Linked DNA regions of Callithrix jacchus. The protein of the gene in region 2 interacts with the protein of the main gene of each other region in a pairwise test. Links are inferred from orthologs where the notes say so. Each region holds a gene or a part of one and is shown on either strand. Other genes may lie near its edges.

What was found.
Region 1: the proteins of REEP6 (region 2) and PTPN9 interact in binary tests that used the Homo sapiens proteins (3 or more experiments, as listed by UniProt). The two-hybrid records come from large-scale screens. The link is inferred for Callithrix jacchus from reciprocal best matches to the Homo sapiens genes REEP6 and PTPN9.
Region 3: the proteins of REEP6 (region 2) and SNX15 interact in binary tests that used the Homo sapiens proteins (3 or more experiments, as listed by UniProt). The two-hybrid records come from large-scale screens. The link is inferred for Callithrix jacchus from reciprocal best matches to the Homo sapiens genes REEP6 and SNX15.

Annotation. Positions count from the first base shown.
Region 1 is NC_133509.1:22,363,067-22,366,710, reverse strand, and holds part of PTPN9 (tyrosine-protein phosphatase non-receptor type 9), read right to left. Parts: intron 3,325-3,644; coding exon 3,208-3,324; intron 1-3,207. UniProt on the Homo sapiens protein: Protein-tyrosine phosphatase that could participate in the transfer of hydrophobic ligands or in functions of the Golgi apparatus.
Region 2 is NC_133523.1:1,412,757-1,417,146, reverse strand, and holds the start of REEP6 (receptor expression-enhancing protein 6), read right to left. Parts: upstream 2,821-4,390; 5' UTR 2,739-2,820; coding exon 2,624-2,738; intron 1-2,623. Other genes in the region: PCSK4 (proprotein convertase subtilisin/kexin type 4), read left to right, coding at 3,684-3,872, 4,121-4,225. UniProt on the Homo sapiens protein: Required for correct function and survival of retinal photoreceptors. Required for retinal development.
Region 3 is NC_133511.1:122,104,972-122,108,615, reverse strand, and holds part of SNX15 (sorting nexin-15), read right to left. Parts: intron 2,998-3,644; coding exon 2,962-2,997; intron 2,750-2,961; coding exon 2,629-2,749; intron 349-2,628; coding exon 233-348; intron 132-232; coding exon 1-131. UniProt on the Homo sapiens protein: May be involved in several stages of intracellular trafficking. Overexpression of SNX15 disrupts the normal trafficking of proteins from the plasma membrane to recycling endosomes or the TGN.

The DNA.
Region 1 (3,644 bases), on a different chromosome or scaffold from region 2:
TGGTGGTTCATGTCTGCAATTCCAAGATTTTAGGAGGCAGAGGCAGGTGGATCACCTGAGATGAGTTTGAGACCAGCGTGCCTAACATGGCAAAACTCTGTTTCTATTAAAAATACAAAGAATTGGCCAGGCACGGTGGCTCATGCCTATAACCACAGCACTTTGAAAAGCCAAGACAGGCAGATCACCCGAGGTCGGGACTTTGAGACCAGCCTGACCAACATGGAGAAACCCCATCTCTACTAAAAATACAAAATTAGCCAGGTGTGGTGGCACATGCCTGTAATCCTAGCTACTTGGGAGGCTGAGGCAGGAGAAGTGCTTGAACGCAGGACTGTGGAGGTTGCGGTGAGCGAGACTGCACCATTGCACTACAGGCTGGGCAACAAGAGTGAAACTCTGTCTCAAAAAATAAACTAAAATAAAAATTAGCAGGGCATGGTGGCAGGCAACTGTAATCCCAGCTACTTGGTAGGCTGAGGCAGGAGAATCACTTGAACCCAGGAGGCAGAGGTTGCAGTGAGTCAAGGTCATTGCACTCCAGCCTGAGCAACAAGAGCGAAACTCCATCTCAAAAAAAAAAAAAAAAGATAAAGCAAATATAACAAAATATTAACAATAGTCAGTGTTGATCCCATGGTACAAACATATAGTTATTTCCAGTGTCATACTATGTACTTTTCTCTATCTTAAAAAATTTCAGCCAAGCATAGTGGTTTATGCCTGTAATCCCAGCACTTTGGGAGGCTCAGGCTGTCAGATTACCTGAGGTTAGGAGTTCAAGACCAACCTAGCCAATATGGTGAAACCTTGTCTCTACTGAAAAAAAAAAAAAAAAATTAGCCAGGCATGGTGGCAGGTGCCTGTAAGCCCACCTACTTGAGAGACTGAGGCGGGAGAATCACTTGAACCTGAGAGGTGGAGATTGCAGTGAACCAAGATCATGCCTCCTACCTGGGTGACAGAGTGACTCTGTCTAAAAAAAGAGTCTCCCCCTTCCCATACAAATATGCCTAGTGAATAAAAGCAATCCTAAAAGATTACATAATGTATGTAATTTTTTATAAGTTTTATATAATGTTATTTTATATAACAACAACTTGGAAAACACAAAATTATACAGAAATGGAGAACAGATTAGTGGTTACAGGGGTTAGGAATAGGGAGGTGGTGGGAAGGAGGTGTCTGTTTATTAAAGGGCAACGAAGCCAAGCATAGTGGCTCACGCTTACAATCACAGCGCTTTGGGAGGCCAAGGTGGGTGGACACAGGTCAGGAGTGTTCGAGACCAGCCTGGCCAACACAGTGAAATCCTGCCTACTAAAAATACAAAAATTAGCTGTAGGCGTGGTGGTGGGCGCCTACAATCCCAGTTACTTGGGAAGCTGAGGCAGCAGAATCGCTTAACCCTGGGAGGCAGAGGTTGCAGTGAGCCGAGATCGCCCACTGCACTCCAGCCTGGGTGACAAGAGCAAAACTCAGTTTCAAAAAATGAAAAGAAAAGAAATTAGCTGGGCATTGTGGCACATGCCTGTAGTCCCAGCTACTTGAGAAGGTAAGGCAAGAAAAATCACTTGAACCTGGGAGGCAGAGGTTGCAGTGAGCCAAGATTACGTCATTGTACTCCAGCCTGGGTGACAGAACAAGACTCTGTCTCAAACTAACTAAATAAATATTAAAATATTGAAGGGCAACAAGGGGAGCCTTGTGTTGACAGAACTCTTTGTATCTTGTCTATGGTGACAGATACACAAACCTACACGTGTGACAAAACCACAGAGAAGTAAATACACACAAACAAAGTAAAACTGGGGAAGTCTAAATCAGATTGGTGGACTGTATCAGTGTTAATACTCTGGCTGTGATATTACACTACAGTTTTGGAAGATGTTACCATGGGATAACTGTAGAAAGGGTGCATGTGATCTGTCTCTATTACTTCTTAAAACTACAAGTGAATCTACAATTATAAGAAAAAGTAATAAGAGAAAAGGGAAAGAAAGTCTCTTGGTTCAGGGGAATCCTGGGTAAGAGTGAATGTACACTGATATCCACTTCATAATCCAGAATTCCAAGGGAAACATAGTTTGTTCTGTGTAAGTAGCTCTACTGGGAGTTGGTGTAAGACGGAGGCCTGGGGCTGATGAGGATTCTAGGTTCTAAATAACAAATTGGGGAATCAATCATTCAACAGGCAAGACTAGGAAGTCCTCTCATTGAATGAGGGATCTCTGATTGTCAAATGGTAGCTGGTTTGGATGATGCCAAGAAGATCTAAACCCACTTATTCAATGGAGGGGGGAGACCCTACAGTAGAAATGACATCTCAAGGACCTCACAGCAGTTGGTAGTTGCAGAAGCATCAAGAGCAAGGTAAAGAATCCCCAGGATAAGTGTGCATCCTCTTGGATCAGCCCAGCAAGCCTTCCTGCTCCAATGTACTTCCCTCATTCAAGATGCAAGAGAAGCCGGGCACAGTGGCTCATGCCTTTAATCTCAGCACTTTGCAAGGCCGAGGCAGGCAGATCACTTGAGTTCAGGAGTTCGGGATCAGCCTGGCTAATCTTGTTGGTTTTTATTTTTGTAGAGATGGGTTCTTGCTATGCTGCTCAGGTTGATCTCAAACTCCTAGGCACAAATAATCCTCCTATACCATGTACTCTCAAAGTGCTGAGATTACAGGTATGAGCCACTGTACCCACCCATAGTTTCTATAGTTTTCAACAGACATAGCTCACTAGTTGGAGAGAGATTTCTGGGGCAGCCAATTAAAACATGGTAAGAGAAATGAGAGCAATAATAATCTGACCAGGTGCAGTGGCTCACCCCTGTAATCTCAACACTTTGAGAGATCAAGGCAGGACGATCACCTCAGTCTGGGAGTTTGAGACCAGCCCAGGCAACATGGCAAAGTCCATCTCTTCAAACAATAAAAAATTAGCTGGGCATAGTGGCACATGCCTGTAGTCCCAACTACTCAGGAGGCTGAGGTAAGAGGATCACTTGAACCTAGGAATTCGAGGAAATGAAAAGAACAGAAGAAAAGAAAAGAAGGCCAGGTGTGGTGGCTCATGCCTGTAATCCCAACACTTTGGGAGGCCAAGGCAGATGGATTATAAGGTCAGGAGTTCGAGACCAGACTGGTCAATACGATGAAACCCTGTCTCTGCTAAAAATACAAAATTAGCCAGGCGTGGTGGTACATACCTGTAATCCCAGCTACTTGGGAGGCTGAGGCAGGAGAATTGTTTGAACCTGGGAGGTGGAGGTTGTAGTGAGCCGAGATGACGCCACAGCACTCCAGCCTGGCAACAGACCAAGACTCTGTCTCAAAAAAAAAAAAAAGAAGAAGAAAAGGAGGCAAAGAGAAAAGAAGAGGCTGGGTGTGGTGGGTTATGCCTGTAATCCCAGCACTTTGGGAGGCTGAGGTGGGCAGATCACCTGAGGTCAGGAGTTTGAGACCAACCTGGCCAACATGGTGAAACCCCAGCTCCACTATAAATACAAAAATTAGCCAGGTATGGTGGTGCAGGCCTGTAATCCCAGCTACTTGAAAGGCTGAGGCAAAGAGAATTGCTTGAACCCAGGAGACAGAGGTTGCAGTGAACCGAGATTGTGCCATTGCACTCCAGCCTGGGCGACAG
Region 2 (4,390 bases):
ACCCTTCTGCACATTTTATTTTTTTGAGACGGAGTCTCGCTCTGTTGCCCAGCCTGGAGCGCAGTGGCACAATCCCAGCTCACTGCAACCTCCGCCTCCTGGGCTCAAGCGATTCTCGTGCCTCCGCCTCCCGAGTAGCTGGGACCGCAGGCGTGTACAACCCTGCCAGGCTGACTTTTGTATTTTTAGTAGAGATGGGGTTTCACCGTGTTGACCAGGCTGGTCTCAAACTCCTGACCTCAGGGTCCCCCCCCACCTCCTCTGTGTCCCAAGGGCGGGATTACAGGTGTGAGCCACTGCACCTGGCCTTCCTGTACAATTATTAAGCGCCTTCAGGCTACTGTAACACAGTTCTAGTGAGGAGGGTCTTCAGAGAGAAGAGTGTGTGTGTGTCCGCATCCAGCTCTGCCCCAATCCTGAACCTGGCTCTGGAAAGAATGACTGTGACAACTGCATTTATTAAGCGCCTATTGTGTGCCAGGTTCTGTGCTTTCCCTGAACTGTCTCATGCAACAGCCAGAACTGGGCTGGGTGGGTGTTGCCCAAGGTCACACAGGGAACCTCTGGGCTCAGAAGGCTTGGGACAGCCTCCGTTCTCCTCCCCTGGGGCTGCTATCTGCAGAGAGAGATAGAGGCCACTTGCCGACCAAAGGGCAGACGCCCAAGTTCCGCAGCCCAGCCCTCCCCTCGGCCAGCATCAGTCTTTATCGACAAGCACCCAAGGTCGGGGTAGGAGGGGTCCCCCAGCTGGTCCCAGCAGGCTATGCGGCCTCCGGGCCACTGTCTCCTCTGAGTTTCTTCATGTTACCCAGGGGTGTAGGACCTATGGGTTTAAAGGAGGTGCGGGGTTGCGGGGGAGGGGGATACAGGGGGATGAGGGAACGCCACCTTTCCCCGGGCCTCCCTGGTGGGGGAGGAATGGCTCTCCCAGGGCGTCCCTCCCCTAAATCCCTTTTTCTGCAGGTTCAGCACTGGGAGGATGACCTTGAACATGGGAAGTGTGGACGGGGCACAGCCCCCAAGATTAGCAGCAGATGGGACTGGGGTGGGCAGGGTGGAGGGGGCGTATGCTTCAGACAGAGCAGGCACATAGGCAGCCCCTGCCTCCCTGTACCTCAGCCTCCTCCCTGGCAACACAGTGCCCCAGCCAGCCCGTCCCTGCTGCCTGCCTCCTGGGCGCTCTATGACCTCAATTCCCGCCCACTGGCCCCAGGGATGTGGAAAGGGAGGGCAGAGGTCAGGGGCCTGCTCCCCGGGGCAGGCACAGGGGGCCATGCCACCTGCTGTGCTGTGCACATGGGACCAGGCACCTGGGGACCTCCAGGGTCTGGGAACAGATCTCAGACTGTCCTGGGGCTGCCAGGCATGGGAACTCCCAGATGGTGGGAAAACGGGGGAAACTGGAGTCCTGGGATCTGCCTGCAGGAGGTGCTCAAAAAAGTGGCACTGCCCGCTACCCACTGCGCCCCAGGCTAGAGAAAATCCTTGTGAGTTACTCTGCCAGGCTCCCTGAAAAAGAAGGCAGGGCCAGTGGGGCTGGGAGCACCACACAAAGGGAAGAAAGGCTGGGTACAGTGGCTCCCTCCTGTCATCCCAGAGCTTCGGGAGGCTGAGGATCACTTGAGCCCAGTTTGACACCAGCCTGGGTAACATAGTGAGACCCTGTCTCTTAAAAAAGTTAATTTTAAAAAGTTTTAGGCTGGGCAGGGCCGGCGGCTCACGCCTGTAATCCCAGCACTTTGGGAGGTCGGGGTGGGTGGATCACTTGAGATCAGGAGTTCGAGGCCAGCCTGGTCAACATGGTGAAACTCCATCTCTACTAAAAATACAAAATTTAGCTGGGCATGGTGGCGCACACCTGTAATCCCAGCTACTCGGGAGGCTGAGGCAGGAGAATTGCTTGAACTCGGGACGCGGAGGTTGCCGTGAGCCGAGATCGCGCCATTGCACTCCAGCCTGGGCAACAGAGCAAGACTCCCTCTCAAAAAAAGAAAAAAAAAAAAACTTTTAAAGGTGGAGAGGGAGGCATTTAAGGAGCGATTGCTACATGCGCGCTCTAGACAGTTTTGGAAAGGGGCAGGGCCGCACAGTGTCACCAAGGCGGAAAGGACCAGGAGAACATGGAGTCACAATCGGGGTGTCGGGATCTGGAGCTCCGCGGGCGCCAGTCCAGCCTCCCCCCATCACAGCTGTCAGACGACCCAGCTTCGTCTTAAATATTTACGCGCAGTGGCACTAAGCCATTGAGCCGGGGGAAGGAGACTAGGCCAGCCGGGAGGAGGGTCCTGGGCAGCCCCCCGGTAGCCCCCCAGGGACGGTCCGTTCCCCTCCCGGAGTCCACGGGGGGCAGGGGACGGGGAAACGCGCGGGTCACGGGCATCCCCACCCCCACCCCTCCGGGGCCACCGGGCAACTGGAAGAACCGGACTTCGGCGTGGCGGGCACCCAGCGCCGGGAAGGAGGCTGGAAAGGGGGGCGCGGGCGGACCCCGAGGTCCCGGTCACCCCGCACGCTCCACCGGCCGGACCGGACCCCGCAGCCGGGGAGGGAGTCCGATCCGCGACCCCCGGGCCCGTGGCCTCGATGTGCCCGTCGGCGAAACGGGCGATCGCCGACCGCTCACCTGCAGCCAGATACCGCTTCTCCACCCCGGTCTTGGCCTCCAGCGCCCCCAGCGCGTCGGTGACCAGGTTCCTCTGCTCCAGGAAGCGCTCCACGCGCTGGCTCAGCCCGTCCATGGCCCCGGCGCGCCCGGCGTTGGCTGCTCGAGCTCGCCCGCGGCCCCGCGCGCCCGCCCCGCTGCACGCGCGCAGCTTTCTCGCAGCGGGAGCCGAGCTGTCCGGGCCCCGCGCCGGTGTCCGCCCCCGGCCCCCCGCCCGGACCAATGGGAGGGCACGGCGGACAAAGGAGGTGGGGCCTGCCCCGTCTCCCCCGCCGCATCGCCCTCTGGGGGGGCTGCGGCCGCCACTGCGCAGACCCCGCCTGGAGAGGGCGGGGCGCACCAGTTCAGGGCACCGATTGGCCGGGCGGGAGCGAGACGTAGCTGATTGGAGGGGCGGTGTCAGGGGACGGGATTATTGGCTGCGACGCTGAGGGGGGTGGAGCTAGGGTGAGGCGCGGCACGCGGTGGAAGGAGGAGCCTGTGGGCGGGGCTGGAGAAAAATCCGAGCCGATTGGGGAAACGGTACGCGATTCATTGGTGAAGCCGGAGGAGGGGCGGTCTGATCCGTAAAGGAGGCGGGGCTGATTAGTAGGGGCGGGGAATTGGGCGGGGCTTATTGGAGGAGGCGGGATTGCTCGATAGAGCGATTTTGATTGGGCCGGATAGGAGGCCGGGCTGATTCTCGAAGGAGGGGGTGTGTGGGAAAGTGGGCGAGGCCAAAGAAAGTGCTGGACGCGTTACCACGAGTGACTCCCCTTCTCTGGTTTAGATTATTGTCGTTGTACAAATGGGGGAACTGAGGCTCCCGAGGCTGTGGGTCTGCGGAAGGCCGGCAGGCGTGCCTCCTTCCCGCTTCTGTCAGATCTTCGCGCCTCTCGGCGGGGGTAGCCTCAAGGCCCCCTGGGAGTCGAAGCCTTCCGCGTTGCCATGGCGCCGGGGGCGTGGCGGGCGCCTGGGCCCCCTCGGCGGTTTGGCGGGGGAGGGGCTTGCTCAGGTCCCGCCCCCTCCCCGCCCCGCGTCCATGAGGCCCGCCCCGATTGCGCTATGGCTGCGCCTGGCCTTGGCCCTGGCCCTCGTAGGCCCCCTGGCTGTGGGGTGGGCCTCGTCCCGGGCCCCCATCTATGTCAGCAGCTGGGCCGTGCGGGTGTCCCAGGGGAACCGGGAGGCCGAGCGCCTGGCACGCAAATTCGGCTTCGTCAACCTGGGGCCGGTGGGTGGGACCGGGATGGACAGGAAGTGGGGGCTCGAGGGGACTGGACGGCCCCAGACCCCGACAAGTGGGAGGGAGCCCCCAAGGTCTCCTAAGTATCAAGAGCCCCAGCCCACCCCTGCATCAGCCAAGCTCAGTTTCTGAGGGCACTTGGTGGGGAAGGACAAGGCAGGGGGGTTTCCCGGCCCTCGGGGGCTGCAGCAGGGGAGCCGGGTCCCATCCGTGCGGCCGCTTCCCCACATCCCCAGATCTTCCCTGACGGGCAGTACTTTCACCTGCGGCACCGTGGCGTGGTCCAGCAGTCCCTGACCCCGCACTGGGGCCACCGCCTGCGCCTGAAGAGAGACCCCAAGGTGAGCCTGGCCTGGAGGCCACCCCCTCGGGTCTCAGCCGCATCCTGGGGCCCTAGCCACCTTCTGTGATTCTCGTGGCTCTTATGAACGGCTGTGTGCTTTCTGTGGCTCGGACCCACCCTGATCTCAAGTCTGTGTGACAGGGAAGAGCAGGGAGACCCAAAT
Region 3 (3,644 bases), on a different chromosome or scaffold from region 2:
TCGAAGCCCCTCCTTTCCACAGGGAGCGGCTGGGGTAGCCGGGGGTCATCAGGGGGCGGGGTGGGGATCAGAGGGGGTGGCAGGATATGCAGGTCCCTGGACACTTCTGAGGGTCGGGTCACTTCCCCACCCTGCAGGACAGAAAGATCAGCCATGGGGAGTCATGGGGTGCAATCTGGTGGCGGGTACGTGGCCCAGGTTCTGGGAAGGTGGAAGGACCAGGCGCACATACCCGGAAAAACTCCTTGAGCTGGGGGCTGTTGTTGAGCGCAGGTATGTGCACCGTGAAGCGCAGCAGGTCCTCTGCCCCCTTTCGCCGCTCCTCGATCACTGAGGCTTCAAACCGGCCTACAGCCCCCGCGACAGGGAAGAGGGGAGAGTGGCGGTGACCCACAGTGGCTTCTGCCCCAAAGCCACTTTTCCTGGTCCTGCCAGAGATGCTCTGAGCAACTCACTGCCCTCCTACCCATCTTCCCAGCCGTCTTCCCCGGCTCCTCCTGGGGTGAGGTGGGGTTTCCAGGAGGGATCAGTCTCCCTATTCATTCATTCGCCAGATGTTTACTGAATACCTACTATATGCTAGGCTCAGAAGGTGAACAGGGGAGACAAGTCTCTGCCCTTGTGAATATCATATTCTATACAGGGAGAGCTAGGTAGTTAACAACAAACAAAAGCATTTCTGATGTCTTTGATCTAATGAGGAGAAAAGTAAGGCTCAGAGAAGTAAAGTGACTTGCCCAAGGTCACACGGCAAGTAGCCTCCCTGTTTATTCTTTGAGACAGGGCCTGGCTCTGTTACCCAGGCCGGTGGGTGTACGGTGGCACGATCTCAGCTCACTGCAACCTCTGCCTCCTGGGAAAACCTGCCTTTCCACCTCAGCCTCCCAAGTAGCTGGGACTACAGGCGCATACCTCCATGCCTGGCTAACTTTTGTATTTTTTGTAGAGATGGGGTTTTGCCATGTTTCCCAGGCTGGTCTTGAACTTCTGAGCTCGACTGATTCACCTGCTTTGGCCTCCCAAAGTGCTGAGATTACAGATTTGAGCCACAGTTTCATTGCTCTGTCCTAGGTATTAAGCAGAGCAGGCTAACTCTGGTCCAGTTACTGTGTGGCCAGTCTGCGGCACTCCCCACTGGCCTGACAGCAGTGATCCTTCACCTTGCTTCAAAAGAACATCTCGGCCAGGCACAGTGGCTCATGCCTGTAATCCCAGCACTTTGGGAGGCCGAGGCAGGTGGATCACTTGAGGTCAGGAGTTCAAGACCAGCATGGCCAACATGGTGAAACCCTGTCTCTACTAAAAATATAAAAATTAGCTGGGCGTGGTGGCGTGCCCTCGAGTCCCAGCTACTCTCATCCCAAGTGTTCCTCAGCCACACAGGGCTCGTGGCTACTGTTTTGGAAGGCACAGGTCTACAGGAAACCTAGCTGTGCAGCTGTGGCAAGGAATCCTGGTTCTGCCACCTACAGGCCAAGACCCTTCACCTCACTGAGCCTCAGCTGGCTTACCTTGAAAATGGAGCTAATAGGTGGGTGCAGTGGCTCACACCTGTAATCCTAGAACTTTGGGAGGCCGACACAGATCACTTGAGGTCAGGCATTTGAGACCAGCCTGCCAACATGGTGAAACCCTGTCTCTACTAAAAATACAAAAATTAGCCTGGTGGGGTGGTGCATGCCTGTAATCCCAGCTACTCAGGAGGCTGAGGCAGGAGAATTGCTTGAACCTGGAAGGTGGAAATTGCAGTGAGCCCCCTGAACTCCAGCCTGGGCAGCAAAGTAAGGCTGTCAACAATAACAAAAAAGAAAAAGAAAATGGAGCTAATAAAGACAGGAATTTTTTTTTTTTTTGAGATGGAGTTTTGCTTTTATTGCCCAGGCTGGAGTGCAGTGGCACGATCTTGGCTCATTGCAACCTCCACCTCCCAGGTTCAAGTGAGTCTCCTCCCTCAGGCTCCCGAGTAGCTGGGATTACAGACATGTGCCACCATGCCTGGCTAATTTTTTGTACTTTTGGTAGAAACAGGGTTTTACCATGTTGGTCAGGCTGGTCTCGAACTACTGACCTCAGGTGATGCACCCGCCTTGGCCTCCCAAAGCCCTGGGATTACAGGTGTGAGCCACTGCACCTGGCCTGACAGGAATGTTAAAAGGCACAATACCCCAGCACTTTGGTAGGCTGAGGCGGGCGGATCACGAGGTCAGGGGTTCGAGACCAGCCTGACCAACATGGTGAAACCCCATCTCTACTTAAAAAATTAACTGGGCGTGGTGGCACGCACCTATAGTCCTAGCTACTTGGGAGGCTGAGGCAGGAGAATTGCTTGAACCCGGGAGGCGGAGGTTGCGGGGAGCCAAGATCATGCCATTGCACTCCAGCCTGGATGACATAGTGAGACTCCGTCTCAAAAAAAAAAAAAAAAAAAAAAAAAAGTGCAATATACAGGGTTAGGCTGCTCTGAGCCTCAGTTTCCTCATCTGTCAAATAAGGTCATCCCTAAAGGTCCTTCCAAACGTGTATCTGCCCAGAGTTTCAGTCCCTCTCTATCCAGCCCCCACTGGCAGATGTCCCCGTTGCCCAATACTCCCTCTATCTTCAGCCTGAGTGCCCAGATCTAACACTCACCAAACACTTGCGCCCGGGGGAAAGCAGGGAACTCCTCCAGGCGGCGGAAGAGGTTGCGGTGGGTGTAGGCCAGGTCTCCATGCAGCTTGCGGAAGTCACTGTACCGCTTCCAGACCACCACCTACCAGGGACACGAGACTTGCCTGGGACTGGCAATGGTGGGAGGCAGCCACCTCCATGCCCAGTCTGCCCCCAAGGGGTGTGAGGATCAGGATGTAGCACTGCCTTGCCCAGGGCCGGGGAGGAAGGAGGGCCGGTGTTCAAACAGAGTTACCAGCTGCCCCTTGTCAGTTTCCAGATCCGGAACCTCCCTCTTCCTCCCAGGAGCCTCACCTCTTTGACATCCTCTGGGTCCTTCTTTGAGATGAACTGAGAAAGAAAGGCAAGAGCCAGTTGAGACCAGAGACCGCCAACTGATACCTTCTCACCCTGTCATGCCCAGGTGCCTCCTAGTCCCCCGAAAGGGGCAGTGTGCTTTGGCCACTGGGCTCTGGCATCAAGGCACCCTGGCTTTAAGCCTTGAGTGTAACCTCAGCAATTTTTTCACTATGCACCTCAGTTTCTCCATCTGTCAAACAGGAGGACCCCCAAAGGCCCATTTGGACTACTCCAACCTCAGCCCAGCAATTTTTTCTTTTGAGACAGAGCCTTGCCCTGCAGGCTGGAGTGCAATGGCATGATCTTGGCTCACTGAAACCTCCACCTCCCCAGTTCAAGCCATTCTCCTGCCTCAGCCTCCCGAATAGCTGGGATTACAGGCACGCACCACAACACCCAGCTAATTTTTTGTATCTTTAGTAGAGACGGGGTTTCACCTTGTTGGCCAGACTGGTCTCAAACTCCTGACCTTGTGATCTGCCCACCTCAGCCTCCCAAAGTGCTGAGATTACAGGCATGAGCCACTGTGGCACCCAGCCTTTTTTTTATTTTGTGAGATGGAGTCTCGCTCTGTCACCCAGTCTGGAGTGCAGTGGTGTGCTCTCGGCTCACTGCAACCTCTGCCTTCAGGGTTCAAG